3 linked regions of the Macaca fascicularis genome follow. The protein of the gene in region 1 purifies or fractionates together with the protein of each later gene. This does not show direct contact. Links are inferred from orthologs where the notes say so. Each region holds a gene or a part of one and is shown in the gene's direction. Other genes may lie near its edges. The genes, in order: SS18, BCL7C and ARID1A.

What was found.
Region 2: the proteins of SS18 (region 1) and BCL7C purify together in Homo sapiens (affinity purification with mass spectrometry; 3 studies listed by BioGRID and IntAct, counting the BioPlex papers as one, with this or other methods). This does not show direct contact. The link is inferred for Macaca fascicularis from reciprocal best matches to the Homo sapiens genes SS18 and BCL7C.
Region 3: the proteins of SS18 (region 1) and ARID1A purify together in Homo sapiens (affinity purification with mass spectrometry; 7 studies listed by BioGRID and IntAct, counting the BioPlex papers as one, with this or other methods). This does not show direct contact. The link is inferred for Macaca fascicularis from reciprocal best matches to the Homo sapiens genes SS18 and ARID1A.

The regions. Positions count from the first base shown.
Region 1 is NC_088392.1:63,684,758-63,694,625, forward strand, and holds the start of SS18 (protein SSXT), read left to right. Parts: upstream 1-5,126; 5' UTR 5,127-5,166; coding exon 5,167-5,235; intron 5,236-8,165; coding exon 8,166-8,242; intron 8,243-9,868. UniProt on the Homo sapiens protein: Appears to function synergistically with RBM14 as a transcriptional coactivator. Isoform 1 and isoform 2 function in nuclear receptor coactivation. Isoform 1 and isoform 2 function in general transcriptional coactivation.
Region 2 is NC_088394.1:29,065,196-29,075,063, reverse strand, and holds the start of BCL7C (B-cell CLL/lymphoma 7 protein family member C), read left to right. Parts: upstream 1-3,984; 5' UTR 3,985-4,230; coding exon 4,231-4,322; intron 4,323-4,872; coding exon 4,873-4,951; intron 4,952-5,216; coding exon 5,217-5,325; intron 5,326-5,417; coding exon 5,418-5,579; coding exon of another isoform or gene 5,580-5,589; intron 5,590-9,210; coding exon 9,211-9,296; intron 9,297-9,868. Other genes in the region: CTF1 (cardiotrophin-1), read right to left, coding at 2,255-2,303. UniProt on the Homo sapiens protein: May play an anti-apoptotic role.
Region 3 is NC_088375.1:208,408,625-208,418,492, reverse strand, and holds the start of ARID1A (AT-rich interactive domain-containing protein 1A), read left to right. Parts: upstream 1-3,601; 5' UTR 3,602-3,973; coding exon 3,974-5,119; intron 5,120-9,868. UniProt on the Homo sapiens protein: Involved in transcriptional activation and repression of select genes by chromatin remodeling (alteration of DNA-nucleosome topology).

The DNA.
Region 1 (9,868 bases):
TACTGGAGAACAACGTTGTATCGGCTTCCTATTGCTCATCTAAGAAATTATGACAAATTCAGTGGTTTAAAACAACACATATTATTAATCTCATAGTTTTGGAAGTCACATGTCTGAAATAGGCCTCACTGGGCTAAAATCACGATGTCAGCAAAGCCAGGAAGGGCCGATCGAATCTCTCTCTCAAGATGCCCTCTCTCTAATTCTGAGTCTTCAGCCTCACAGATTCCCATTTAAGGACACTTATGATTTCATTGGGCTCACCTGGATAATCCACATTAATCACAGTATCTCAAAGTCAGTTGATTAACCACCTTAATTCTATCTAAAACCTTAATTCCACTTTGCCATGGAACCTAACATAATCACAGGTTCTGGATTTGGAGGTCGTCATTTTTAAGGTGATGAAATTATTCTGCCTACTACACCCATTCATAGCGAAATTAGTTAACAGATAATATATCATAATCCTCTCTATAAATTGTGAAATAGTTCAAGAACAGTAACATTGTTTTATTAAGTGCAGAATAACTGCATATCATGCACAAGGGCACAGAACATGCTAAATGTGAAAAAAGGACATTTGATATTTAAGGTCAGCAAATTTTCCAAGGGTAGACTGCCCTCTCAAGCACTTTGGATTATAGTCCTAAAATGTCCATTTTTCCTTATTATATTATTACATTACAAATCTTGTCCTTGTTTAGTAATTTACAATATCCCATTTATTTGTACACATTTTATATGTTAAAATTGAGACTTAATTAAAGGATCTAATGGAAGGTAATCGCTTAATTAAAGGATCTAATGTAAGGCACAGAGGCTAGTGCATAATAAATGCTAAATAAATAAACATTATTTTTAATAGCTTTTTAGATATGGCAGCTACTTTTCAGGAAGTTCAGTGAGATGTAGAAGTGACCTGTCCAGTATTATGCCATGGGTAGAATAATTGGGAACTCCAAACCTATGCATCTTTCACAAAGAGTGAAAGCTTTCCATAGGAATTACTTTTTTTTTTTTTTTTAAAAAAAGCAATGCTTTTCTATATCACTGAACCAAAAAATATAATTGATTCAGTTCATACTTAATTCATTCTATATTTGATACTATAAGAAGAGATGAAAATGCCTCTGATAGGCTTTGTTATAGTCTACTTTGAATGAAACCTTCCATAGTATCAAAAATAAAAGTCCTTTACAGAGAATTGGGAAGGGTGATTTGTTCTTGCCTGAATAATGATTAAATAAATATATAGATGTATGCTTCTTTCTTTACGGTCTTGAAATCTGTGGGAGCCACAACTCAAATTGACTCATCAAATGCCACAGGGACTGTGAACAGAAATATTTTGAAAGATATTACCTGAGGGGTTTTGCTCTGAGCCCAATTATGAGCAGACAGGCTTGGTCTATGCCTTCCCAATGTATTCTAAAAATTTATGACAGCTCAGGGGCTTAAAATACCAGCACATTTGGTAGTACAGATACTCTACTAATTCTAAAACATACATATTAAAGAAATGCTTGTATGAAAGCAAAATTATTTTAGTTATCCGTACATATTTTTTGTGGATTAAGATAATTTTTAATGCCATGGTTATATAGTTTCACTAAATATTGAACATATTACAGGAGCACTTTACTTTGTCAGTTCATAAAAATATATTTAAGGAATACACGGTCAGGTGTGGTAGCTCACGTCTGTTCTCCTAGCACTTTGGGAGGCCGAGGAGGGTGGATCGAGACCAGGAGTAAAGGAGTTTGATAACAGCCTGAGAAAAATGGTGAAACCCTGTCTCTATCAAAAAATACAAAAATTACCCAGGCATGGTGGTGCATGCCTGTAGTCCCAGCTACTTGGGAGGCTGAGGTGAGAGGATCGTTTCAACCTGGGAAGTCGAGGCTGCAATGAACTGAAATTGTGCTACACTGTAGCCTGGGTGACAGAGTGAGACCCTGCTTCAGATGTGTGTGTGTGTGTGTGTGTGTATTTTAAGGAGTACAGATTTACATAAAACAGTTTAAAAATTGAAACATAAAAATCAAACATGGACAATTTTTTTTAATCTTGTTTTTGGTTAAATCTGCCTACTTCATATTCATTAGTGTGAGTAATCAAGAATTAACTGTTCACGCAGATTATTTTTCTTATTCTGATCCACTGTATATGTTCTTCAATTTAGGATTATTCCAAACTCCTTCTACCTCTTGGTTATGTGACTTGAATTCCTTCTTTGGATGTCTCTCATTCAAGAGCAGTTTAAATAGTGGGACTGATTTTTTTGGTTGGGGAGATGGTTGCCTGAGTAGCTTACCTTTAAGTCCTTAGAGGACTTTCCCAGTTTTAGGCCAACTTCCCTTATTTATTCTCCTTTACTTCCTTAACTAAATGCTAGGGACTGTTTATTCTCCTCCTTCTACCAACTCTGCTGCCACTCAGTCTACCTTGGGATTCCTCTCAAAACTAATGGTCAGGTGAGATGGGACTTATTATGTTCCCCTAAGTATTCCCTAACTCAGGACTCTTAAACAACAAAGGCCCCCAAATTTTAAGAAAGATCTTTCAGGCTTCAGTCTCAATCTTTCCTCTTTCCGAATTTTCTGTTTTTCCAGGTCAGGCTGATTGGACTGATTGGGTTTTAGCAAGGAAGCTTGAGGGTGAAGTAGTTCTCTTTTCTGGCTGGACTTATAGAACAATGCTTTTCAACCGATTTCATGTGATCAGACACAGAAAATAATGGTATTTTTACAGCATACATGGTGTCACAGAAAAGACTGTGGTTATCCATACCTGGAGGCTATGGGTGCTCTAGGCCCTACCCAGCTACTCTGAAGAAATAAACACCTCAGGGCAACCTGTAACCTGTTTTCAGTGGATTTCCCTTTCTCACCTTGGGGAAGCTGTAATTTAAACAAAGAAGGTACCTATCTCCGGGTGCCTCCCTGGAATAGAAGCCCCCTTGGACTATTTATTTTTTGCTGGGATATGGAAATTAGACAAGTGTTCCTATTGGTTCTTGTTGCCCTTTGAAGTTTCAGTGCTATCTGCCAAATGCACAGAACTGGAGCAGTAGGACTATTTACGATTCATGTTTCCTATTGAGATATTGTTCTTAGCTACTAAGTACTAAGGTACTTTTGTGTAAAGCATGAGACATGACTCTGCATGCCAGGTGTTGAGTGCACAGTGATAGTGGTAGACAAGTGTTGGTTTCCAAATTCGACAGAAGTTTTCCAATTTGGTGTGGTTACCTTAAGTCCAGCTATACCAGAGTGTTTTCTTCAAGGCTTAGAATAGTGAAAGACAACAGTTAAAATTTTAAGAATAATTGCTATCAGTAGGAGTATAAACTTTCTTCCCTTTATCCTTAGAACAGCTTGAGTCTTCATCCTTTAGGTCTCAGTTTAAATATAAAGGGGAATACTTTTCACACTAACTAATGTAGGTGTCCCTGTCATTCTGTTAGTCCTCCCCCTTTTTTTTGGCTATTTTTTCTTGGGACTTTACATATATACATATTTCTGGTCTGTTAGTCCCATTAGTGTATAAGCTCCTTGAGAAGAGGTTCCATGTCCAGCTTTTTCACAATTGTACCCCAGGTTTCCAGTATAAAGTCTAATAAACAATGCATCCAGATTTAATCAATGAAACTCTTGACATTTTTGTGAAAAGCATTTATTTGATACTTTTTTTTTTTTTTTTTTTGAGACAGGGTATTGCTGTGTCATCCAGGGTGGAGTACGGTGGGGCAGTCATGGCTTACTGCAGTCTCCACCCGCTGGGCTCAAGTGATCCTCTCACCTCAGCCTCCCGAGTAGGTGGAACTACAGGTGCACACCACCACACTCAGCCAATTTTTAAAATTTTCGTAGAGCCAGGGGTCTCACTTTGTTGCCCAGGCTGGTCTCAAACTCCTGGCCTCAAGTGATTACATTTTTAAAACAATGTATTTTTTCTTTATTTTTCCAATTTATATGAAAAATGGAAATATTTATTTTTTATTATTCATTAACGTTGTGTAACACTTTATATAAACTTTCCCTTTGTGTTATATGGAAGTCTAAATTTACAGAATACTTTAAAACCCCACGGCAACACAAAACCCACATTTGTCCGTGTTCCTTCCGTAATTTGAAAATTTTGCCTTTTTCCCTTACACTGACTTGAAGCCTGGCAGCTTGGGCCTAATTTACAAGGCACTAAGCACTCTTAAAAAACAGAGTGTGAGGATGCCCTGTTTCACAACTTAATTCCAAAGAGCCAAGTCAGACGAAATCGACCCACTTTCCTGCTAAGGGTTTGTCCCACGAGGCGAGCTCTTCTCTGTCCGCTCCAGCCAAGTTGGCCGATTGCCCCCGAGCACTGGACACAACCTTGGTGTCCCGGTTTCGGGTCAGGGTTACTTTCTAATTGTTATGCACGACTTTGTGCATGCGTGCGAGACTGTGGACTCGGAGGTGCGCATTTGGGGCGTAGCCGAGCCATTTAAACCAGCGAATCCGCGTTCACCTTATCCTTCCACCTCTGTCCTATCTCCGCAGATGCTCCACGGATTGGCACGAACTCCCGAGTGCTGACCTTCCTCCCCTCTCCGGGCTGCCCGGACATCTCGGGGCAGCGACTTCTTGCCAGGAGGCGTAAGTAAGGATGAAGTTGGAACAACTGAACTAGGTCTAGGGCACGCTCCGCAACGCAGTCGGGGAGACGCTTCAGAGCGCCGCGGGGGAGGCAAGTTGCAACCGCGCGAAGGGGGCGGGCCGGCTCGAGCCGCTCGCATTTCCTGTGACAGGGGCTGCCCCAGCCTCTCCCTCTCCCGCGGCGGCGGGACCATTTCCTGAATCGCTGAAGCGGAGGGAGGACTAGGGCGCGACTCTACCATTAGCGCGAAAGGCCAGGGGGTGCCCACAAGGAGAGGTCGGGGGATGCGAGGACGGTCAAGAAAGTTCGGCCGGGGCTGCGGGTCCCCCAGAGTGCGCAGAAACGAGACGTCCCTGGGCCAGAGTGCCTCCTTCAGGCCTGCCCCGCCGGCCGTCCGCTTGGCCCTGGAGCATCCCCCCTCCCCGCATTCCCGAGGTGGTTCAGCCCGAGAGGCCGGCGTCTCTCCCCCAGTTTGCCGTTCACCCGGAGCGCTCCGGACTTGCCGATAGTGGTGACGGCGGCAACATGTCTGTGGCTTTCGCAGCCCCTAGGCAGCGAGGCAAGGGGGAGATCACTCCCGCTGCGATTCAGAAGGTGAAACCGCGCTGGGTTGGGGATGCCAGGCCCTTCCCGCCTCTGGGAGAGACGGACACGGGGGGAAGGGCCGGGCCCGGAGTCGACCGGGCCGGGCCAGGGGCGGAGGCGGAGGCGGGCCTGCTGGGAAGCAGCCGTGTGTGGGAACCGGGGCTGCGGGCTGTGCCTGAGTTGGTGGCGGAAGAGGGTGAACCGGTTTTTCTCGGAGTCTTTCGCGCGTTTACGCGCTTTTCTACAGACACAAAAGCCCAAACAGCCGCCGCCTGATTTCTCTAGGGATGGGGCGGCGTTCGGGCGGCGGGGCGCGTGCGCCCGGCGGCGGCCGCGCTGGGAAGGGCGTGTGTCGGGCCGGGCCCCGCGCGTTGCTCCGGAGTTACTTTGGCGTCGCCCCGCCCCGCGCGCCGCGGCTGCTTCGTGCGGACCCCACCGCGGGCCGCTGCTGGCGGAGGGAAGTCGGAGCGCAGGTCGCTGCCCTGCAAACTCAGCCGAGTTTGGGAGCTCTCAGGAGAACTTGGGGAACGCTGGAGGGAACCTTAGTAGAGTCTGAGGAGCGGGCAAGGAAGGTCCCCATGGACTCTGAGGTTATCCCCAGAGCCTCTTCTTCCCTTCTACATCGCCGCCTATTCATTTACTTCTGCAGCAAGTATTTATTGAGCGCCTATTTTAGGCGCTGAGGCGACTATGGTGAGTCATGGTCCCTGCCTTCCTGGAGCTTACAGTCTAGTGGTGGAGACTTCTGTCGTAACCAGTTAATATAAGTCGTGATAAATACAGAGGGAGCTGCCTCCTTTTTAAGGATAGTGCTGCTACAGTCGCTGCTGTGTTACTGCCTGTCGGAACACAAAGGTTCTTTATTGTCCTCTACCCCTTGTTGCCTACTAGCAAGGCAGCATTCTAAATTTTACTGACCTAGGCTTTCAAAAGTTGCTGCTATATTTAGCAGTTTACCTTAAATATTTTTGTTTTGTTTTATGCCGTGTAGCAAAGATCAAAATAGAAAAAAAGGTCAAGTTTTAGTACCACTCAGACCACATAGATTATGCTAATCGGTTTCTGTTTACTGTCAGGTTCTTCGTAGTGTGGCTTTTGACATTTGCCCAACTGTTGCTTTATTTTATGAACAAACGGGCTTGGCAGTGCCTGGAAATGCAGTGCTTTCATATAGTACTCTGAGTTAAGTCTACAGCCTGGCAAACAGCTCCAAGTACACACTTACGCAAAACTGCGTTTCTGGGGGGTTCACCTTTTTTATTTTTGTACACAGGAAAAGTCCAGAGTTTTTCTTTTTTTCTATAGTTTCTCTTACATACGTCTTAAGATATTTATCATGGATAATGATTAATTCCGAGTATGGTGATCAATTTTTTTCCATTCTCAGCTGAACAGAAACATGGGCTCCAAATTAAGTTCCTTATTCTGCAATGGGAGAGATTGATATTAGATGTGAGACACATATTTTAATGGTGACGTTCAGTAGTTTGAGGAATATACTGGAGATAAGTTGTGAAATCATTAGGTTGAGGATTTGATTCGTGCATTTTAAAGACTTTTTTTGGTCAATGATTCTATCTAAGAAATAACTGCATTTATTAGCAGATCATGTTAGTGGTTTTTTTCCCCCAGTAAGTGAAGATTGTGATTCACGTGCAGAAAAAAAGTGACAGTTAATGTTAAATGGATGTTCCTTTTATTGAGATAGAGTGATTATGGTATTGTACTAATACTTTTGAATCCTGGTAGGGTGGGGCAGGTTCTGGAGAGCATCTCCTGAGTCCCTTGATCTTGGAGCTGAATCAGCCTCTGAAAACTTAAGTGACTTGCTCAAAATGGCAAAACTGGCACTGAAACTAACTGGCCTTTTAATTGCTACAATCAGTACTCTTTCTTCAGCTCCACTTTACTTAGATGAATTATTTAACCCTCAAAGCCAAGATTACTTTGAATTGTTAAAAGATGATAGAATGATAAATCGGTATCTTTTTCCTCTTAAACTTTTGAGACAGCGTAATTATGAAGTAAACTCATAAAGTCTGTAACAAATATTATACATGCATAGAAATTACTATCTTTAATTATTATCTCATAATTGGAGAATCACAAAACCATGCTGTTATAAAACTTGGAAACTAGCCAGCTACTTCATCAAGACTCCTGGGCTGAAGTTTTCATGTATTTATTTCATTCTGGAGAAGTACAGAATTTTTCTTTACTAATCCAAACCATTAGAATGATGAAAAGCCAACTCGGACTCTTAACTTTAGTCTTAATTGGCTAAGCTTCTATTACAGATAGCAGAGGTAATTAAATGTTTGATATAAAAGAATTCAGATTTTCGTTTCTGGGCTTGTTTATTCAGAGGGAGAATAATTGGAATATTAAAACGTTATTGATTAAACATGGTATCATTCCAAAGGTGTAAAATTAGGATTTTTTTGTGGTGAGCTATCGTATATATTAAAAAGACCCAAGAGGATTCAATTTCTGTATAGATGCAATATTTCTAGAAATCTGAAGGGAAAAAAACTCAGTTACTGAAAACATTGTCCATATGAACTGTGCATGGCATAATTTTACAAGAGATTTAAACAGTACGTAATGAAATTTTATGCAAGAGAGCTGCTGATTCACTAATCTTGCTTTAAATCATATTTATTATTAAAATGAATTTTAAAATACTTTGTAACAGCGGGTAGCAACGTTAACAGAAAATCATTTTAAGGAAATTTTGTTTTTTTATGTTTCCATGTTTGCTTAATGATTTATGATATGTAATGATTGTTTGGCGGGGAGGACAGTATTTTGTTAAGGGGTACACTTTAGAGTTCTTGTACAAGCAGTATTTACTAATGCCCTCCCTCTCTGAATTTTCTAGTTTTTTATTTTACTTGATGCACTAGTTTTATGCTAAACCTTTTCTAATTCTGTTTCAGATGTTGGATGACAATAACCATCTTATTCAGTGTATAATGGACTCTCAGAATAAAGGAAAGACCTCAGAGTGTTCTCAGTAAGATTGATAAAAAACTTTTTTTTTAAATTCATTTTTTGTATTGGTTAGTTTTTTACTTTTTACTAACAGCTTTATTGAGAAATAATTCACATACCATACAATTCACCTATTTTAAAGTGTACAATTCAGTGTTTTCTAGTATATTCATAGAGTTGTGCTGGTATTAGGTCAGTCGGTTTTACAACATTTTTAACATCCCCAAAAGAAACTGAGTATCCTTTGGCAGTCACTACCCCCCCGCCCCTCACCCCCTGACAACTACTAATCTACTCGCTGTGTGAATTTGCCCGTTGTGACATTTCATATAAATGGATTGATATACTATGTGGTCAGTTTTGACTGACATTTTTCACTCTGCGTAGTACTTCTGAGGTTCATTCATGTTGAATCATGTTTCAGTACCTCATTCCTTTTTATTGGCAAGTATTTTTTTCCATTATGCAGCTGTACCACATTTTATTTATCCATCGGTGATAGCCTTTTGTGTTGTTTGTACTTTTGACTAATTATGAATGATATTGCTATGAACATTTGTGTACAAGCTTTTGTGTGACTTGTTAATTTATAAAAGAAATCTTTCTTTGGGAGGAGATTGGGTATCACTTCGTTTCTTATACTTCTTACCCTGCATGATACAATAATGACTTCAAATATATGTGTAGTCTGATCTGTGGAAAAGTTAGATCTTCATTTATGTAGGATATTGAGTTGCATCCATGTATGTGGTGGAGAAAACAAAGCTTATATCTAATAAATAGAGAATTGATTGTCATTCATAAGGACCAAACTTTCTACCTTAAAGCTATGTATCTGAAGTAAATAATATGCCCTAATAGAATCTGATGTGGTAGAATGAGTTGAATATATTATCAAAAGTATTTAGAACAGCACTGTCCATTAGAAATACAAATGCGAGCCACATGTGTGATTTTAAATTTTCTAGTAGACACAGTAAACAAGTAAAAAGCAGGTGAAATTAATATTAGTAATACATTTCATTTAACCCATTAGTTCCAAAATAGTATCATTTCAATATCCAATTAGCATAAAAATATTGAGATATTTTACATTTTTTTTTTGTTGTTCTAAGTCTTGGAAACCTATTGTGCATCTTGCTTTAATAACACATCTCATTTTGGATTAGCCATATTTTACTGTGTCTAGTGGGTGCTATATTGGTCAACACAGCTGTAGAATATAGTTGACCCTTGGTATCCATGGTGAATTGATTCCAGGACTCCCCATGGATACCAAAGTCCAAGATGCCCGTGTCCCTGGTATAAAATGGTGTAGGATTTGCATATAACCTACTCACGTCCTCCTGTAAACTTTAAATAATCTCTAGATTGCTCATAATACCTAATACAATGTAAATACTCCGTAACTAGTTGTTATATTGTATCGTTTAGGGAATAATAAGAAAAAAGTCTGCATGTTCGGTACAGACACAACCATCCATTTTTTTTTTTTCCAGAATATTTTCAATGCATGGTTGGTTAAACTATGGATGTGGAATCTGTGGATACTGAGGGCTGACTATTCTCACCCTGGTTTTGGGATGCATCTGTCTTTCCTAGAGACCTCACTGGTGTATCCTCAGGCAGATAATTCCCACCAACCTTG
Region 2 (9,868 bases), on another chromosome or scaffold:
AGCCGAGGCCACTGCACTCCAGCCTGGCGACAGAGCAAGACTCCATCTCAAAAAAAAAAAAAAAAAAATTAGCTGGACATGGTGGCATGCACCTGTAATTCCAGGTACTCAGCAGGCTGAGACAGGAGAAGCGCTTGAACCCGGGAGGTGGAGGTTGTAGTGAGCTGAGGGTGCGCCACTGCACTCCAGCCTGGGCAACAGAGCTAGACTTCATCTCAACACAAACGAACAAATACATACATACACACACACATATATATAAATATATATAATTATATATATTATATATACAGAAAATTATATATATACACATATATCAATATATATACACACACAGGGAGAGAGAGAGAGAGAGAGAAAGACAGAGTCTCGCTCTTTCACCCAGGATGGAGTGCAGTGGTGCAATCTTGGCTCACTGCAGCCTCCACCTCCTGAGCTCAAGTGATCCTCCCGCTTCAGTCTCCTGTGTAGCTGGGACTATAGGCATGTGCCACCACGCCCAGTTAATTTTTGTATTTTTTGTAGAGACAGGGTTTCACCATGTTGCCCAGGCTAAAAGTGCATATAATCTTGTGGGACCTCCATTGTCTGTACGGTCCACCTGTTGACCAAATGTTGTTATGCAGTGCATGACTGTACTGCCTCCACAGTGCAGCCTCCAGAATCACTCCTCCTTTGTAAATGAACTCCTTCCTTTGACTTAAGGCCATTTGCATGAGTTCCAGGGTAGCTCTTTTAATGGCTTTTCTGTGTATATCTGCCTTAGCCTGAGAGCCCTTTGAGGACAGGGCTTACATATTTCCAACTCAGTGACTGCTAGTGGACTTCGACATTATCGAAGCACAGAACTTCACATCGGAAGGTGCCTTGAAGGCCTGTTTTACAGATAGTGAGACTGACGTCCATTTCCATTTCTCTCCCTGATGCCCCTTCCGTGCGAGGCGCTGGTCTGGCTAGTCAGCGAATCAAGGTCCGCAAGGGCCAGTGTCTGGCGCCCCGGGAGGGACTCCATTTCCCGAAACGCACAGCGCGCTCCAGATGCGCGCTGGGGAATGTAGTGACCCGGTGCCCCGCCCCGCCCCCACCCCGCGCCAGTTTCCCAGCACCAGTCGCGATCCTCAGCAGCCCAGACTTTCGTCTCCTGTTGTCACTTACTACTTCCTGTGACTCCAAGACTGCCTTTCCTTACTCTACCCCTTCCTCCAGTCCCCAGCTCTGATTCTTTCCCGAGACTCAGTGGACGCAGGGGTCCTGCCCCAACCCCGACCCCAGTCCTCCCCATGAGTGTACTCGAACCGTTGATCTAAGTCCTGAGCCCAAGTCCCTGAAACCTCAGCCCCAGGCCTCCTCTAAACCCTAGCGCCTGTCGTTTCTCACAACTCACCCGCTCGCTCGTTACCTGACACCGGAGCCCTGCTCTTCCCCGTCAAGGCCGCTCCCCTCCCGGCCCCGGGGGTGGCGGAGACCCAGACCCCCAGCTCCCAACCCCTCTGACTCCTGCGGCCCTCAGCGACCCGGCGTCCGGTCCCTCAGCCCCTTACCCAGATTTCCCTCCCTCCGGCTCATGCTGGCCCCTGGCTGATCCCGGCTCCCTCCACGCCCCCCTTTGGAAGGGGGAGAAAGGGGAAAGGGCTGGGGGCGTGGCCCGGGCGCAGCCAATCAGAGCCCAGACCCCAAACATTTCACCCTACCCCCCCTTTTCAGACAAGATTCCTTGGCCCTGAGCTCAGTTCCTCGCCCGTGGGGCCTAGTAGGGGAAGGGGCCCGAGCTGGGAGGCAAGTTGTCCGCCGGGTGGACAGGACCTCAGGGCGGGGGTGTCAGCGCCTGGAAGGCAGCCCAGTGTCCTGCCGTGGGCTCAGGCTTGGACTTGAGGCAGGGGCTGCTTTGGTGGGAAAGGTGAGGAGACAGGAGAGGGAACAGCCGGACTGGCAGGACAGGAATGCGCAGGCCCTCTCTCTAGTCTGGGGCGCGGCCTGCGAGAGAGGCCACGATAGGGGCCGTCAGGCTCGGGGCACGCTTGTCCAGACATACATCTCCTGGCATATCTTAGATGGCTTCCAATCTCATTGTCACAACCACCAGAAGGGAGACAGATACACTGCTCTCCTCTCCTTAGCAGGCCTAGTAACAGAATCACACACACACGCCCCCCAGAAGAACAAGCTTCAGAGACCTGGACAGGAAGTCACACCCACGCATCAACCCCATTAACCTGGTGTAGACTGAAAGGAAGGCACATAGGGATGATCATACTTGGTTTCTGGCCCCCCCGAGGGGCTCGCGGTCTGTCGGGGAAGCCCATAGACAATAGCAGCTAATGCGGTTTGTGAGTGAAGACTGGGAGGAGGCCCGTGTGTGTGCGTGCGCGTGCGTGTGTCTGCGTGCGTGCATGCGTGCGGATGTGTGTGCGTATGAGCGTGCGTGTGTGCGAGTGGATGTGGTGTGAGGGTGCAGGTGTGCGCGTGTGCATGCATGTGCGCGTGCGTGTGTGTGTGCGTGTGCGTGTGAGTGGGTGTGTTGCCGTGAGCAGACAATGCTGGAATAAAGGAAGAAAGAGTTTAACTGGAGAGGGCACAGTAGATGGAATTGAGCCAGACCATTAGTAGGGCCCACAATCACATGTGCATTGACCGTAAATAGTTATTGGGCATTTACCATGTGCTGGGAACTGTTCTAAGAGCTATACACACATTAACTAATTCCTATGTTATAGATGCGGAATAGAGAGAAGTGACTTGTTCAGGGTAATACAGTTGGGTGTGGCGCAGCTGGGATTTTACCTAAGCAGCTTGGCTCAAAAAATGCTGTCCTAATCATGCTCCTAACCCCTTATACCCTTAACCTCGGGACATGGTCACGCCCAAACTCACAGACACAACAGGCACATCTTGAAACACACACACACACACAGCAGCACAAATTTTGACATGGTCTTATCTGCTGACAAGCCAGCCTCAAATAAAGTCAACCAAGACACACTCACTTTCTTTAAGTAATGCACATTTTATTTAAGTCATGTGATGGATTTTCACAGAGTACATATGCCCAGGGAACCAGCACCGGATCACACAACAGAACTGGATCAGCTCCCAGAAGCTCTCCCCTCATCCCCTCCCAATCCTAAGGGCGACCACTATCTTGACTTTGGTGCACTTTAAATTAGTTTTGTCTGGTTCTGAACGTAATACACCTGGAACCATCTAGTATGTACTGTTGTATTTGGCTTCTGTCACTCAAGATTTCGTCATGCGACTTGTCTATGTTGCTGGGTGTAGCCGGGCATGTCACTCCCGTTGCTGTGTCTATGTGCATGGTAATGAGTAGGGCATCATTCATTTTCCATTCTGTTGATGGGTTATTTCCAGTTTGGGGCTGTTATGAAAGGGCTCTGAACGTTCCCAAGCACCCTCTTGGTGCTCACACCTACACATTTCTGCTGGGTGTTGACAGCCTAGGAGTGGAATTGCTGGATCACAGAGGTGGCATATGTTCGGCTTCACTAGAAAACTGCCAGTTCTCAAAACGTCTCTACCAATTTACACTCCCCCAGAAATACAAGAGAGGTTCAGTCGCTCTACTTTCTCGCCTCCACATGGTGCGGTCTTTTTCACTTTAGCCATTCTGGTGGGTAGAGACCTACTCGTATTCGCAGCGCCTGGCGCGTAATTGGCGCTCAGTTAACAGGACTGTTGAATGAATGGATGAATGAGTGTTGGGCGGTGTAGACCGAGAGCCTGGCGAGGGCGGACACACGCACGCACTCCACACACAGCGTTTCGCGGACACCCACCGCGGCGCACGCACCCCAGGACACAGACCCTCTCGAGCACCCCGCGCCCACGTGGTCTGAACGCACCGCCTCGGCCCTGCCTCGCGCGTCCGGCCGCCGAGCAGTACCCAACTCCCGCTCTCGACAGCGGGCAGGGGGCGCTGCGCGTCCAGGCGCTCCGAGGGGGCGGGCCCGGGTCGGGGCGGGGCCGGCCGGGCTTCCAGGCCTGGGCTCTGGCCGCCCGCGCCACCGGGCCGCTCCGGGGACGGGCCGGGGCGGGGCACGGCGGCAGGAAACGGGGCGGGGACTCGCGGAGGCGTTGGGGACGAGAGAGGGCGCGGCCAACTCCCGGGGGGACGGCAGGCCGAGAGCGCGGCGCCCGGGCCTGGCGCCGAGCCTGAGCCCGCCGGACGGGAGGCGGCCCCGCCGCGGGCTCGGCTCCGGCCCCAGCCCCGCCAGCATGGCCGGCCGGACCGTACGGGCTGAGACCCGGAGCCGGGCCAAGGATGACATCAAGAAGGTGATGGCGACCATCGAGAAGGTCCGGAGATGGTGAGCGCTGCCCGGGGGCCAGGGACGGGACACGGCGGGACCACCACCACCTAAGGCGTCTAAGCTGCCTTCGCCAGCTCTGGGCCCCGGTGTTCGCTGTATCCCCGCCCACTAGCTTTGCCCTGGATCTGTCCCCGTTCCCCTGGCTACTCCTGGGGGTCTACAAAGCGTGGTCCCCAGTCGTGCTCTCCCAGAGTGGGAGCCCCCGTTTGTGCCCCGCCCCCTAAAGCTTTGACACTCCTTCTGCAAGTGCGCCCCGAGATCTGCAGGTCTCTGATCCCGGGCCAGGCCCATAGCCACGCCCCCCGTGTGTGCCCCAGGGGTCCGCAGAGCCAGGGCCCAAATCATATCCTCTCTCTAGAGGCACCCACCGCCTGTGCCCTGGGGTTTGCAGGGCTCTCTTTCTCCATGTAACTATGCCCCATTAGCAAAACTGTTGCTACCCTCCTGTGCCTCCCCAACCTCTGCAGGTACCCCCAGATGTGTCCGGCTCCTGGGGGGGTGGGTCTCCCCTCAGGCCTCTCTGACCCAGTCCCCCACCCTCCCACAGGGAGAAGCGATGGGTGACTGTGGGCGACACTTCCCTTCGTATCTTCAAGTGGGTGCCAGTGGTGGACCCCCAGGAGGAGGTGAGCAACCCCCATTCCCACAAGGCCCTGCATCTGTGCAACCTCAGGCAAGCTCCTCCCCACCCTGACCTCTACCTCCAGCTCCCAGAGACCTCAGATGCAGCAGAACAGACAGATGGGAACCATCATTAGCAGCTCCTCCCCTTTTTCCCTCTTTTCTGTTCCACACCCTGAGTTCGAGCCCTTTTGCTTCTCAGTGCCTCAGTTTCCTTAGGTGTATGGTGGGGCTTTCCAAGAGCTCTGACCCTAATCCTCTAACCCCCAGGAGCGAAGGCGGGCAGGTGGCGGGGCAGAGAGATCCCGTGGCCGGGAACGTCGGGGCAGGGGCGCCAGTCCCCGAGGGGGTGGCCCTCTCATCCTGCTGGATCTCAATGGTAGGTAGGGATCCTGAAATGCGGAGGGCTGTGGGGACTGAAGGAGTGTATTAGGGATCTCAGGCCAACCATCTCGGCTCTTGCTCCCACAGATGAGAACAGCAACCAGAGTTTCCATTCGGAAGGTTCCCTGCAAAAGGGCACAGAGCCCAGTCCTGGGGGCACCCCCCAGCCCAGCCGCCCTGTGTCACCTGCCGGACCCCCAGAAGGGGTCCCTGAGGAGGCTCAGCCCCCACGGCTGGGCCAAGAGAGAGGTAGGACCAGGTACCTCCCAGGAGCCCTCTCCTCTAAGTCCTGTCTTCTCCAGAGTCTAACCTACCAGCTTATCCCTATACCTGCTCCCCATCTTGTGCACCTTCCTCAAGGTGCCTTCCGACTCCTGCAGAATCTCTCTGTAGTTGCTGTCTCATTCCTCTGGTCTCTTAGGATCTATAGATGACATATCACTGTCTGAGACTTTCATGTAAATTAATTTTTTACTATCTTTCTCCTCACTCTCATGTCAGTTTCCTGAATGTTGGGCCCATATTAATCCTTTTTTTTTTTTTTTTTTTTTTTTTTTTTGAGACAGGGTCTCACTGTGTCACCTAGGCTGGAGTGGTGCAGTGGTGTGATCATAGCTCACTGCAGCCTTGAACTTCCTGGGCTCAAGCGATCCTCCCGCCTCAGCCTCCCAAGTAGCTTGGACCACAGGCATATGCCATTTGTATTTTTTGTAGAGGCAAGGTTTCACCATGTTGCCCAGGCTGGTCTCAAACTCACTCACTCAAGCGATCCTCCATCTTCAGCCTCCCAAAGTGCTGGGATTACAGGTGTGAGCCATCACACCCATACCCGCCCCCCCTTTCTTTTTTTAGAGAGAAGTTCTCTGTCACCCAGGCTGGAGTGCACTGGTGCAATCATAGCTCACTGCAGCCTCAAACTCCTGGGCTCAAGGGATCCTCTGGCCCCAGCCTCCCAAGTAGCTGGGGACTACAGGTGTGTGCCACCACACCCAGCTAACTTTTAAATTTTTTGTAGAGATAGGGTCTCGCTATGTTGCCAAGGTTGGTTTCGAACTCCTGGCCTGAAATGATCCTTCTGTCTCAGCCTCCCACGGTGCTGGGATTATAGGCGTAAGTCACTGTGCTTGGCCCTATGTGATCTTGTTCACTACTGTATTCTCAGAATAATATGGGACACAGAGTAGGTGCTCAGTAAATATCTGTTGAGTGAATAAATAATAGTGATAGTCATTGGGGTGATTAATAATAACAGGAATAACAACAGTATTTATTGAGCTCTTACTGTGTGCCAGGCGCCCTGGTAAACACTTTACATGGTTGGGTTTTTTTCTTTTCTTTTCTTTTTTTCCTTTGAGTTTCACTCTTGCCCAGGCTAGAGTGCAATGGCACAATTTTGGCTCACTGCAACCTTCACCTCCCAGGTTCAGGCAGTTCTCCTGCCTCAGCCTCCTGGGTAGCTGGGAATATAGGCATGAACCACCATGCTTGGCTAGTTTTATATTTTTAATAGAGATGGGGTTTCGCCATGTTTTGCCAGCCTCGAACTCCTGACCTCAGGTGGTCCGCCCACCTCGGCCTCCCAAAGTGCTGGGACTACAGGCATGAGCCACCATGCCCAGCCTTTTTTTTTTTTTGAGATGGAGTCTTGCTCTGTTGCCCAGGCTAGACTGCAGTGGTGTGATATCAGCTCACTGCAACCTCTGCCTCCCAGGTTCAAGCGATTCTTCTGCCTCAGCCTCCCAAGTAGCTGGGATTACAGGCATGCCCCCACACTCAGCTAATTTTTGTTTTTTTGTTTGTGTGTGTTTGTTTTTGAGACGGAGTTTCATTCTTGTTGCCCAGGCTGGAGTGCAATGGCACAATCTCAGCTCACCACAACCTCTGCCTCCCGGGTTCAAGTGATTCTCCCGCCTCAGCCTCCCGAGTAGCTGAGATTACAGGCATGCGCCACCATGCCCCACTAATTTTGTATTTTTAGTAGAGACAGGGTTTTTCCATGTTGGCCAGGCTGGTCTTGAACTCCCGACTTTAAGTGATCTGCCTGCCTCAGCCTTCCAAAGTGCTGGGATTACAGGCGTGAGCCACCGTGCCTGGCCTAATTTTTGTATTTTTAGTAAAGATGGAGTTTCACCATGTTGGCCTGGCTAGTCTCGAACTCCTGACCTCAGGTAATCCGCCCGCCTCCGCCTCCCAAAGTGCTAGGATTACAGGTGTGAGCCACCGTGCCCTGCCAACACTTTATGTGTTTTTTTCGCATTTAATTTTCACTACAACCTTATAAGGGTGATGATCTTGTTATGATCCCTATTTATAGATGAGGAAACTGAGACCCAGAGAAGTAACTCAGCCAGTGAGCCAGCATCTTGGGCCTGGGTCCTCCTCAGCTCTGCATTTTTTCTTTTCCCGCTTTGAGACAGAGTCTTACTGTGTCGCCCAGGCTGGAGTGTAGTGGCACGATCTCACTCACTGCAACCTCCGCCTCCCAAGTTCAAGCAATTCTCCTGCCTCAGCCTCCCGAGTAGCTGGGATTACAGGTACACATCACCACACCTGGCTAATTTTTGTATTTTTAGTAGAGATGGGGTTTCACCATGTTGGACAGGCTGGTCTTGAACTCCTGACCTCGTGATCTACCTGCCTTGGCCTCCCAAAATGCTGGCATTACAGGCTTGAGCCACTGTGCCCAGCCAGCTCTGCTTTCTTCCATGCAGTCAAACCCGTCTGGTTGGCACCTCTTCCTCCCAGGCCCTGCCTTGTCCCTGGCCTTCCCATCTCTCACCCGTTTTTGGTTCTAGCTGGTCTCTTCTAGTCACCCCGACACAGCTGCCAGAACAACTTTTTCCTTAATATTTTTTAAGCTTTGCTTTTTTGTTTTGGAGACAAGGTCTCACTCTGTCGCTCAGGCTGGAATGCAGTGGCGTGATCATGGCTCACTGCAGCCTTGGATTCCTGGGCTCAGTCAGCCTCCTGAGTAGCTGGGACTACAGGCATGCATCACCACGCTCAGCTAATTAGTGTTGTTATTTTTTATAGAGATAGGGTCTTACTATGTTGCCCAGGCTGGTCTCAAACTCCTGGGCTCAAGTGATCCTCCTCCCTCAGCCTCCCAGAATGTGAAACCCTGTCTCTACTAAAAATACAAAAAATTAGCCGGACATGGTGGCACACACCTGTAATCCCATCTATTAGGGAGGCTGAGGCAGGAGAATTGCTTGAACCTGGGAGGCGGAGGCTGCAGTGAGCCGAGATCGCACTACTGCACTCCAGCCTGGGTGACACAGTGAGACTCCATCTCAAAAACAAAAACAAACAAACAAACAAACAAACAAAAAGAACATCCTGATGTGGGACTGTGGGCTGGGTCTGGGTCTAGATAGTGCCAAGCACTTGTATACCTTTGCTATTATAAAAACGGTAGCAAGCATTTATTGAGCACTTACTGTGTGCCAACCACTGTGCTTTACCTGCATCTGCTCATCTGACCCTCACAACAGCCGCATGAGGTAATTACTATCATTATCCCCATTTTACAGATGGGGAAACTGAGGCCCGTGGAAATTAAGTAGCTGGCCCAAGGTCAGGATTTGAACCGAGGCAGTCCAAGCCCGGATTCTGTGGCAACCTAGCACACATTCCCTCTGCCTCACATGTCGTACTTTCCTGTCTGTCCACCGCATCAAGACCTACTCACCCTTGAGCTCCCACGTCAGTGTTCCCTCCTCTGCTTCCTAAGGCACAGCCAGGTTCCTGCTCTGTCCTCTCTGCTCCCATGGCCCTCTGCCTTCTGTGACTGGGGCCTGTGACCGTCTGTTTCCCCCACTGTCTGTGCTGCTGGCACAGAGTGGCTGTTTAGGGGATGTTTGTTACCTTGACGTTCCAGATCCCGGGGGCATAACTGCTGGCAGCACCGACGAACCCCCAATGCTGACCAAGGAGGAACCTGTTCCAGAACTGCTGGAAGCTGAGGTGAGAGAGGCCAGAAGGCTACACTCCTGGGTCTTGGAGGGAATGGGGTATCTGGGGCAGCCGAAGGCTTGGAGCCTGCATCCTGAGGCCCTGGAGGAGAGGCAGACCTGGGACCGAGCTGAAGGCTTAGGGGCTGGGTTCTTGGGACTGAAAAAGAAAGGGTGTTTCAGAGACAAAGTGCTAAGGGCTGGATCAGGGCTGATTTGAGACCATTAAAAGCCTGACAAAGCCGGGCGTGGTGGCTCATGCCTGTAATCCCAGCACTTTGGGAGGCCGAGGCGGGTGGATCATGAGGTCAGGAGATCGAGACCATCCTGGCTAACACGGTGAAACCCCGTCTCTACTAAAAACACAAAAAATTAGCCGGGCGTGGTGGCACGTGCCTGTAGTCCCAGCTACTCGGGAGGCTGAGGCAGGAGAATTGCTTGAACCTGGGAGGTGGAGGCTGCAGTGAGCCGAGATCGCGCCACTGCACTCCAGTCTGGGTGACAGAGCGAGACTCCTTCTCAAAAATAAATAAATAAAGCCTGACAAAATCATGGTGCTCCTCCATGCATTTTCAAAAAATATCA
Region 3 (9,868 bases), on another chromosome or scaffold:
TTGCAACTCGCTGTCAGATGGTAGTGCTAGACTTTCACACCGATCCCAAAGCCTCCGCTGGGGCTGTTTCTTAACACGGAGTTACAAACTTTAAGAAACAGACAGCTCCAGACGGAAATCCACGCCAGGCTTTGAACTCTGCTTCTGGCTTCCGTCAACTGACATAGTTGCCCTTTTGCTCAAACTCGCAGCTCTAGTTCGCACTCGAGAGAGCTCTGCTGGGCGTCTGCTGCTGTGCCGCGGCGGGAACGTGTGGGGGCAACAACCTGGCGCTCCAACGATTCTCCACGCCTTAGTTAGGAACCTAAGCAAACCCTCACTAGGGTCCCTGGGCTTAAAACGACTTCTCCCACAAGGATTGGGTGGAGGAAGGAGCCGAGCCCGATCTTCTGTTTGTTTGTTGAGTTTTTCAGACATTTAGGGGAAGCAAATTGCGAGAGAGGAAGGGCTGTCTTCCCTGCACACGTTTCCCTCTCCTAGCAAACCCTCCAGGCCTCGGTTCCACATTTTGCAGTTGACTCTCTGGATTTTAATAGGTTGTTCCCTTATCCTCGGGCCCAATCCATGCACACTGTGCAGCCGGATAAAATGGGAGCACATCCTCTGCCATTTTCAGCCGGTTTGTCCTGGCAGCCCTGCCCCCTTCCTTGGCTGCTCTGCCGCTGGAGTTAATGCGCCCAGAAACTCCGCCTGATACTCCAGGCCGCAGATCCAGTCCATGTTTGCTAAGTGCCGTGCGGTCGGGGACGGCGATAAGAACTCTCCTGTGAGGGAGAGCTAGCGAGACTTTAGTCCGGTTTCCATGTCAACGATTCAGTCCATATTTGCCATCAGGCTGTTGGCCGAGGCGCTTTCGCGAGGGTAGCGCTGTCCTAGTCCTAGTTCTCCAATCTGCGCCGGGATTCCTGAGCTGCCTGGGTGTGGGGTTAAAAGGCAGGGACCGTGGGGGAGAAAACTCCACCGAAGGGAGGACCCACAGCCCCCAGCCGGGGTCTCGCTGCTCGGGCCAGCCACGTGCCCAGCTCCTCCCTTCCCCCCCTTTCCCGTTGCCACTGCCCCTAGGGAAAGCTGATGGGCCAGTTTCTAAAAAAGTTCCCTCAGCTCAACAGTCCCTGGGATTGTGGTGTGGGGCTCTAAAGGTAGAAGTGGAAGAGAACCCTAGTGAATTAAAAAACAAAAAGAGAAATGCCACATTATCTCCTCCAACCCAGGTGGATAGATTTTTGTGCACTTTACCTTATTGCTAGAGAAAAATGGTGACTGTTTTCAAAACAGCGTGCCCACGTGTAGGGAAGGAGATTTTTGGCGCTTTCCATATTTCACAGCCATTGAAGAAAGGGGATGAGGGCTTTCTTTGGAGAGAAATCCATTCTAGCTTCCAGATTTTCACTGGGCTCCAGGTTTCCCATTACACCCCAGCTCTGAGGAAAATGGCAGGGTAATTGCATGTAAAAAAAAATCCTCATTTGTGTGCAGGACTCAGGACTGTTTGCCAGCTCAGAGGCAGTTGATTAAATAGCCAAGCTCTATTTATGAGCAGCCTATAATTTGGTTTCTAGGACCTAATGCACCGGGGAGAGTTGTTGCCCCTGAGGACTATGAGTGAAAAGAGGGCACTGGCCCATACCAGTCAGTTGGATCTTCTTGGTAGGCTGCTTTGGTTCTTGGCTTGAGGCCGGGGGAGGGGAGAAGAATAAAGCTGTGGGATTTTTTTTTTTCCACCACTGTTAGATTAACAGGAAGGTTTTGCCTTTTCAATGTAGGATTCACTAAGTTTTCTTGCGGGGGAGAAGTGAGTTCAGGCTTTGGAATTATTCATAGTGACCAGGGATATGGCCAGCACTCCGGGGTCCTGCATAATCTAATGGTCCTGTGGCCATGAAGTCTCCCTTTACAAAATCTGAGGGGGAAAATATCCTGGTGTCTAGGAACACTGGCCTGGGCCTTTCCCAAGGCAGCCTTGGGTCTGGTGAGGAGCTGGAATCCCCTCTGGCTTTCGTAGCCTGTCATGTCAGAACATTCCAAGTCAGCCTGAGGAAGAAAAGGCTGCTGCTGGGATTTGGTGGGGCCTGTAGATCAGGACAACACTGGAGTTTTCTGTGTATGTCTTGATCTTTTCAGATCCAGCTCAATCGGGGTCTCTTAGAATGTAAATGGTAAACTTTAAACAATTTTTACGCTACAGGATAGAAAACAAATCTGAGAAGCATCCATTTTCTAAGTGACTTGTTGGACTGTGCCTTTTCTTCAAGGAGAAAATGGTTTCCATTTTCTGCATCTCTCTTCTGTAATGGTTTGAACACTCAGGTTCCTGCAGTCCCTGGAGCCTCTTCTGTGGGTTTTCAGTCTTAGAAGGTACTGTCTTTGGAGACTGGGGATACTGGTCATTGTGGGCTAAGTTTTCCTGAGAGGGAGTGAAAACAGGGTTTAGGTTCTCCTGCTGGGTAACTGTTGTATGCTCCTAAAGCAACTTCAAGTGGCCTCCATTTTAAGTCAGTGGTGAGATGATCAGTTTTGACTTCAAATCCATTTTGATATTCTGATTCCATTGTTGAATGTGCTCACAACTTGACTTTTTTTTTTTTTTTTTTTTTTTTTTTAAGGCAAGTAGACCGAAGGCAGCTTTGGTGACTCCACTTCTTTTTAAAGTCACCCTCCTCTGCCCTCTGACTTTAAGTGACAGGCAGTTCCCTCCCCTCTTTCAATTCTGTAAAATGGGGATAATCCGGACCTCATGCCCCCAGAGCCTTGTGAGGACCGGCTAATGAGGGCAGGCGAGTGGGAAACGAATCATCTGAACAATGACCAGTCATTCCTTTGGGCTCGCAAAGAGGGTAAAAAGGCTGGGTCTTTAGCGGGGTCTGTAGAAGGCTTTGAAGACGAAAAGTGCTGTAGAGGTGCTAAACAGCAGCCAACGGACCGGGCCCGCTGCCAGGGGGTCAGGGCTGGGCCGAGGCGGCCGCGGTCTCGGGCTCTGGCCAATTTTGCAGTCGCGGGTAAAGTTCACGCTGCCCGCTCCCCTCGGTACGGCCGGGAGGGGACAGACCTGGATAGGGACGCCGGGAGGGAGGCGGCGCAGGCTCCAGAGATGCGCGGGCTCCGGGCCGGGTTTTCTCCGAAGCCTTCGGCGGCGGCGCTGCCTAGCGAAAGCGGCTAAGGGCCTGCCGCCGCCGCGGCTTGTTCTCTCCCCTCCTCCTTTGTGAGGGGTAGGGAGCGAGTCCGTTCCACGGCCTGCGCCCGCTCCGCTCTCCACTCCGGGTTTGCAAGGCGGCCGCGACGGCGCTGGGTAAAATGGCAGTGCTGAGCCTCGTGTCGGAGTGAGGGGGACTCGGAGGAGAGTGGGGCGCTCTAGCCGCTCAGTCCGGCCGACCGCTTTCTCGCCCGCCCGCTGCCGCGCCGCAGCCTCGACCCAAGCCGCGGCTGGCGAGGGAAGGCAGGGCGCCCGGCCCGGCCCGCGCTCTGACTCTGGCTCCCGGCGCCCGGGCTGCTGCCGCGCGCCCTCCAGCCCGCCCGTCCCGGGTCCCCCTCCCCCCGCTCCCTCCCTCCCTCCCCGCCCCCTCCCCCTCGCCTCCCTCCCTCCCTCCCTCCTCCTTTCTCCGGCAGCAGAAAGCGGAGAGTCACAGCGGGGCCAGGCCCTGGGGAGCGGAGCCTCCACCGCCCCCCTCATTCCCAGGCAAGGGCTTGGGGGGAATGAGCCGGGAGAGCCGGGTCCCGAGCCTACAGAGCCGGGAGCAGCTGAGCCGCCGGCGCCTCGGCCGCCGCCGCCTCCTCCTCCTCCGCCGCCGCCAGCCCGGAGCCTGAGCCGGCGGGGCGGGGGGGAGAGGAGCGAGCGCAGCGCAGCAGCGGAGCCCCGCGAGGCCCGCCCGGGCGGGTGGGGAGGGCAGCCCGGGGGACTCGGCCCCGGGGCGGGGTGGGAGGGGGGGAGAAGACGAAGACAGGGCCGGGTCTCTCCGCGGACGAGACAGCGGGGATCATGGCCGCGCAGGTCGCCCCCGCCGCCGCCAGCAGCCTGGGCAACCCGCCGCCGCCGCCGCCCTCGGAGCTGAAGAAAGCCGAGCAGCAGCAGCGGGAGGAGGCGGGGGGCGAGGCGGCGGCGGCGGCAGCGGCCGAGCGCGGGGAAATGAAGGCAGCCGCCGGGCAGGAAAGCGAGGGCCCTGCCGTGGGGCCGCCGCAGCCGCTGGGAAAGGAGCTGCAAGACGGGGCCGAGAGCAATGGGGGTGGCGGCGGCGGCGGAGCTGGCGGCGGCGGCGGGCCCGGCGCGGAGCCGGACCTGAAGAACTCGAACGGGAACGCGGGCCCTAGGCCCGCCCTGAACAATAACCTCACGGAGCCGCCCGGCGGCGGCGGTGGCGGCAGCAGCGATGGGGTGGGGGCGCCTCCTCACTCTGCCGCGGCCGCCTTGCCGCCCCCAGCCTACGGCTTCGGGCAACCCTACGGCCGGAGCCCGTCTGCCGTCGCCGCCGCCGCGGCCGCCGTCTTCCACCAACAACATGGCGGACAACAAAGCCCTGGCCTGGCAGCGCTGCAGAGCGGCGGCGGCGGGGGCCTGGAGCCCTACGCGGGGCCCCAGCAGAACTCTCACGACCACGGCTTCCCCAACCACCAGTACAACTCCTACTACCCCAACCGCAGCGCCTACCCCCCGCCCGCCCCGGCCTACGCGCTGAGCTCCCCGAGAGGTGGCACTCCGGGCTCCGGCGCGGCGGCGGCTCCCGGCTCCAAGCCGCCTCCCTCCTCCAGCGCCTCCGCCTCTTCGTCGTCTTCGTCCTTCGCTCAGCAGCGCTTCGGGGCCATGGGGGGAGGCGGCCCCTCCGCGGCCGGCGGGGGAACTCCCCAGCCCACCGCCACCCCCACCCTCAACCAACTGCTCACGTCGCCCAGCTCGGCCCGGGGCTACCAGGGCTACCCCGGGGGCGACTACGGCGGCGGGCCCCAGGACGGGGGCGCCGGCAAGGGCCCGGCGGACATGGCCTCGCAGTGCTGGGGGGCTGCGGCGGCGGCAGCGGCGGCGGCGGCGGCGGCGGCCGCCTCGGGAGGGGCCCAACAAAGGAGCCACCACGCGCCCATGAGCCCCGGGAGCAGCGGCGGCGGGGGGCAGCCGCTCGCCCGGACCCCTCAGGTACACAGCTGAGTGGGGAGGGGGCTGGGGCGAGCGTGGTCCTGGGGGTGGGTGGCGGCTGCGGTCAGCGGGCCACAGCCTTGGGCTCCCCTCAGTCTCGGGCCCCCACTGCTGGGGAGCTGCCATTGTCTGGCTCTTCTCTCTTAAAATGGCTGCCTGTCTGCCTTCCTCTCCTTTCCTCCTCCAGCCTTTGTGTCGGGCTTTCCCAGAGGTGTCTGCTTCTCTTGTTCCTCTCCCTTGGTCCCTTCGAACTCCAGGGGTCTTGATGGGGGTGCGGGGCAGAGTGTGTGGGGAAGGGCCTGGCCGGGAGTGAGGGGGTGCTGGGGGCTCAGGTTAGGAGTGTAGGCAGTGGTAGGAACCCAGGAGTTGAATGAACGTTTCTTTGCTCACCTGCCGCTCCTCTCCGTCCCCCGGCCTTCCTCTGGGCCGCCCCCCATCTGTGCTTTCAAAGAGGGCCCCTAGAGCTCGGAGGGACCTCGAGGGAGGGCAGGGGACTGCTTGGGAGCTGCTAGAGGCCGGCTGCGGTTCACCTAGGGCAGCCCTTGCCATCTCCTGTCTTAGGCTCCGCCGGCCCAGTGGCCTGGGCTTCTCTCTGGAAGTGCTGGTAAACAGCTGAGTGATTGGAGTAGTAAGTGCAGATTGCTTTGGTTTGGGATTTGAATTATGGAGGTAAAATCCTTCTGTCAAAGCCAGGAGACAGTTGGTCTTAGGTTGACATCCTATCTGTGATCTGATTGGCTCCCCATCTCCTGCTCTTGGCCATTTATAATTGCCTCTGATGTAATGGTACAACAATCCTGATGAGCTCATAAACTTTTACACTCTGCTTTTCTGCCAGTGATAACCCAAACCATCGCTGCCACTATCTGCCTTTTATTCCAGAGCTGAAATTGGCTGTGACCTTGAGGAGGGAGGTTTAAGTAGCAATACTGTATCAGCAGGAGCAAAGCCTCAGACAGCCTGCCCTTGTTACATTGTGCCCGAAACAAAAGAGGGGGCAATGGCATTTTGCTTGTACCTTGGATTTATTTTGCTTGTTATGTTTTATGCAGCCTGAAATGAATTCTGTGTTGTCAGAACAGTAGCTGAGTTTTTTCTCTACAATGGGTTTGCTGTTTGTTTTGGTTTTGTGACTTTCCTGATGGTATAAATGACTTCTTTGATGGCTCTGAAGATGCATTTGTCTTGAGTAATTTTGACACTGGTTGCTTTGCAGAATTGAAATGATTTTACTGGGGTTTTTATTGAGTGGCAAATGTGGGATCTTTGTGGGTGGGGGAGAAAACAATTTTCGTTTTTTAGTTTTTTCTTTTTAAGAACTGGGAGCTTTCTGAGGAATTTTATATTAGGTTCAAGCATTCTGTGTTATGGAAGGCTGGCCTCATTCTTTGTTTACATGTTGAATCTTGTTAACACTTTCTTTTGTTAATTGAACTTTGGAATAGCAGCTTAATTTAAACGGAAGTTGGTGTCTTTCATGATCTTGAGGGACTTTCTCCTAAAGGCTTGGTTTGGTGAAATTGTTTTTTCCTGGAATAACAAAAAGTCTAGTTTTCTGTTTTGTCATCAGTCATTTTAGAGCTTTGAAATAGAGACTGGCCAATTTATTCCTTTGCATTTTAATGTACCACTTTTTTTCTTGTCTTCCAAGACATGAAGATATGACCTAGAATGACACTTGAGATTAGCTTAGAAATTGCAACTTCGAAGTATCTTTTTATACTATTCTATCTTGTTTTATTTTATTGCTTTTCTTCCATTTTCATCATGCTCTGTCAGCAGTGCTTTTGGTCAGGGATACTGAGTATTCTGTGGAGTCATACATGTTTTCAAAGAGGGGGAAGCTCCATCCATCGCCTCCCAAACCCCTTGCGCTTTTGTGCTAGGAGATTTTGTTCACTTACTAGCTGTATTCCCAGCCCATCCTAGAGCTACTTTTCTACTCCTCCTTTGAGCTGGGCATTTTGAAATTAGCTGTGTTAGAGGGTGGGCTTGGAGCTCTGTGCCTTGATTCTACATCTTCCATGATGTTGTGTATCTGGGCAAGAAATAGGGAAATGTTACATTGTTTTTCTAGTGTCTGGAGGAAAAGTTTTGTCTTAAAAGACAGCATCCTCTTGTCTCTGGGTCATCCTATAGTCTGAACCTCTTTCCCTTCATTCCCCTTGTTTTGTTTGGTTTTGGCTGAAAAGTTTACCTTTCTTGAAAACTATTAGAATAAGTCATTTGGGGTAGTAAGTCAGGGTTCATTTAAAAGCAAAATTGATTTGAACTCTGCTGGTTTGGAAATATTTAGTCAAACTTTTTAAAGAAAAAGCCAACTCTTTTGGTATAATGATTTCTGTTTTTCAGTCATTAAATTATGGAACACTTTTTCTGTGTGGATGATAGGAGAATGGATACAGTCCCTGTTTGGAAGCCTGTCTGCTGCCTTTGGATGAATTTTCTGATCTCTTTTATTATCACTAGACCCACACACACACAACATAGATTCCTAATTAATTTCAGCTCAGTGGCCTACTCCCCAGAGGCCCAGGGAATGGGCTGGTGAGCATTCACTTGTTTGAGAGAGAGTGCAGCTTCCAGTTTTGTGGACTGCTTCAGGTGTGTGGTAGTAGTCTAGGTGAGGGTTGTAGGTTCAGACTTTGTTCTGAATTCCTTTTTGCCACTTGAGGATGAATGTTTTTTCAGACCATGATGCTTTAGTCTTGAACATTCTGAAATTAAAAAGTCTTGCTCTGCCCCCATCTTTCCCTGGCCCAGTCTTAGATTAAGAATATTTTGCAGCGACTTAATTAACATAGCTAAGGTGATAATGTTTTCATTTGACTCTGCTGTTATGAAATAAAGATTAGGTGTGTGTATTGTGACTATGTCTTTTTCACAGGAGCTGGGAAGGTCCTAGCAGACAAACTTCTACTTTATTCCTTTTCATAAGTAGCGTATGTCAAGTGTTGAATCCTGGTACTGATGACATAGTTTTAGGTTACTTACACACACGAAGTTGATTTAAGGCCTTTTATTGGAACGCTGTTTAGCAATAATACTTTGAGAGTAGTACCAGTTTACCAAGGTAAAAAATGAAATACAATAAATAGTCCAGGAACCAGTTGGATTTGATTGTAGAAGTTTGGTTGTTAGTTTCTACTATGGAAATATCAAATGATATTTCTGACTCCTGGGAAACAGATACAGGAATCCTAGATTTATTATGGGAATGCCTACTGGCAGAAATTCTAGGCTGGCTGAAATACAGGACTCTTGGAGCTCTCTCAAGTAGGAGGGACCAGGAAAACCACACTGAGATGGCACTTTAGTTGTGGGGGTTTCATGTTTCTCTACTGTTCATGAGAGAACTGGGGTGATGAGGATTGAGATGGTGGTGTGAGAACAGAGAAAGCAGCCAGGACCGAGTTTGGCTTCTTGTGTATTGGGCCCTGTGAGGACTTTTTAGGTTTCTTGCTTTGTGTGTGACATGGGTAACCATGACAAGCAGCACCTGCTGAAACAGGATGTCTTGGATTGCATTAAACATTAATATGTTGGATTGACTCCTGTAGGGTGTAATGTCTACAGTAGGCCCTTTGCAAAGAGGTTAGTGAACTTTTTAAAAATGTGGGAATAGGCTAACAAAGTAATGGGCAGGGCCCTTTCCTCTTCCCACCCCTCAAAAGGTTTTATTGATTGGCTTCAACTCTCAAAATTCTAGAATCAACTGAAGCTTGTAAATATGGTAAAAATGTGGTATTCAAATATATTGGCACCGAGTCGTTCTTTTCTGCCAGTGAGCTGTAATGCCTGGGGTCGAATGGAGTACTGATTCCTGTGACTTTTATCTCTGAGTTTTTTGTTGTTTAGATTGGTCATTATTATTACTGATGCACACTTAAGTTGTTATTACTGGTGCACACTTGAGTTGTGTGTTGCATTAGTGGTAAAGAGCACAGGACTCACAACAGGAGGAGGAAGGAGGAGGCTTAGGTTCCACATACAGCTCCAGATTAAGCTGTGTGACCCTGGGCAGGTCATTTGCTTTCTCTGTTTTTCATTTTCTCCCTCATCAATAAAATGAAGTTGGTCTGCATGACCTCACTCTAAGATGCTACATATCTGTGCTTCCATAGCTGGCTTGTTTGTGAGGGCAGCTTTCTATACATAAATCAGGAGTCTTGAGACCATCTTTCTTCCCCTGGGCTGAAGGAACTCAAAGCTATTTTCTCCTGAGATTCACAGGAACAAGCTCTGAACAGTTGGGTGCCATTGTGGTCTGTGGACCTTTACAGAAAAAGCTCTACCAGACTGTTGCCTTGAAACTGTTAATCTGTTTGTCATTAGTCATTCCACCTGGCTGGTGGTTTTAAAACACTAAATAGTCATTGGAAAGTTAGCTAGATTTCATTAAAGCAAGACTTGAAAAATAGTTGCTTCAGGATCCCCAGCAGGCTTTGGCACTTGGGGTTGGGGTGAGGAATGGATAATCATAAGTTCAGTGTTAATATTCTGCTGCTTTTGGGAAGGAGTAGGGAGAGAGAGGAACATTAAGCTCTCCAGATTCCTGGTGTTTGGGCAGGTCTAGGTCTGGTTTGGGCAGCTGGTTGTAATCTGAGTGCTAGGACTTGTCCTGTAAATTTTGCTGAGAGAGAAGCAAAAGTTCCTGAGACTGGAAGAGGAAAAGCTGTGTTTCAGGGTCAATTTCATAGGTGCATTCGTTGTTTCTCACAGCTATGGTTTAAAAAACTACATGGTGTG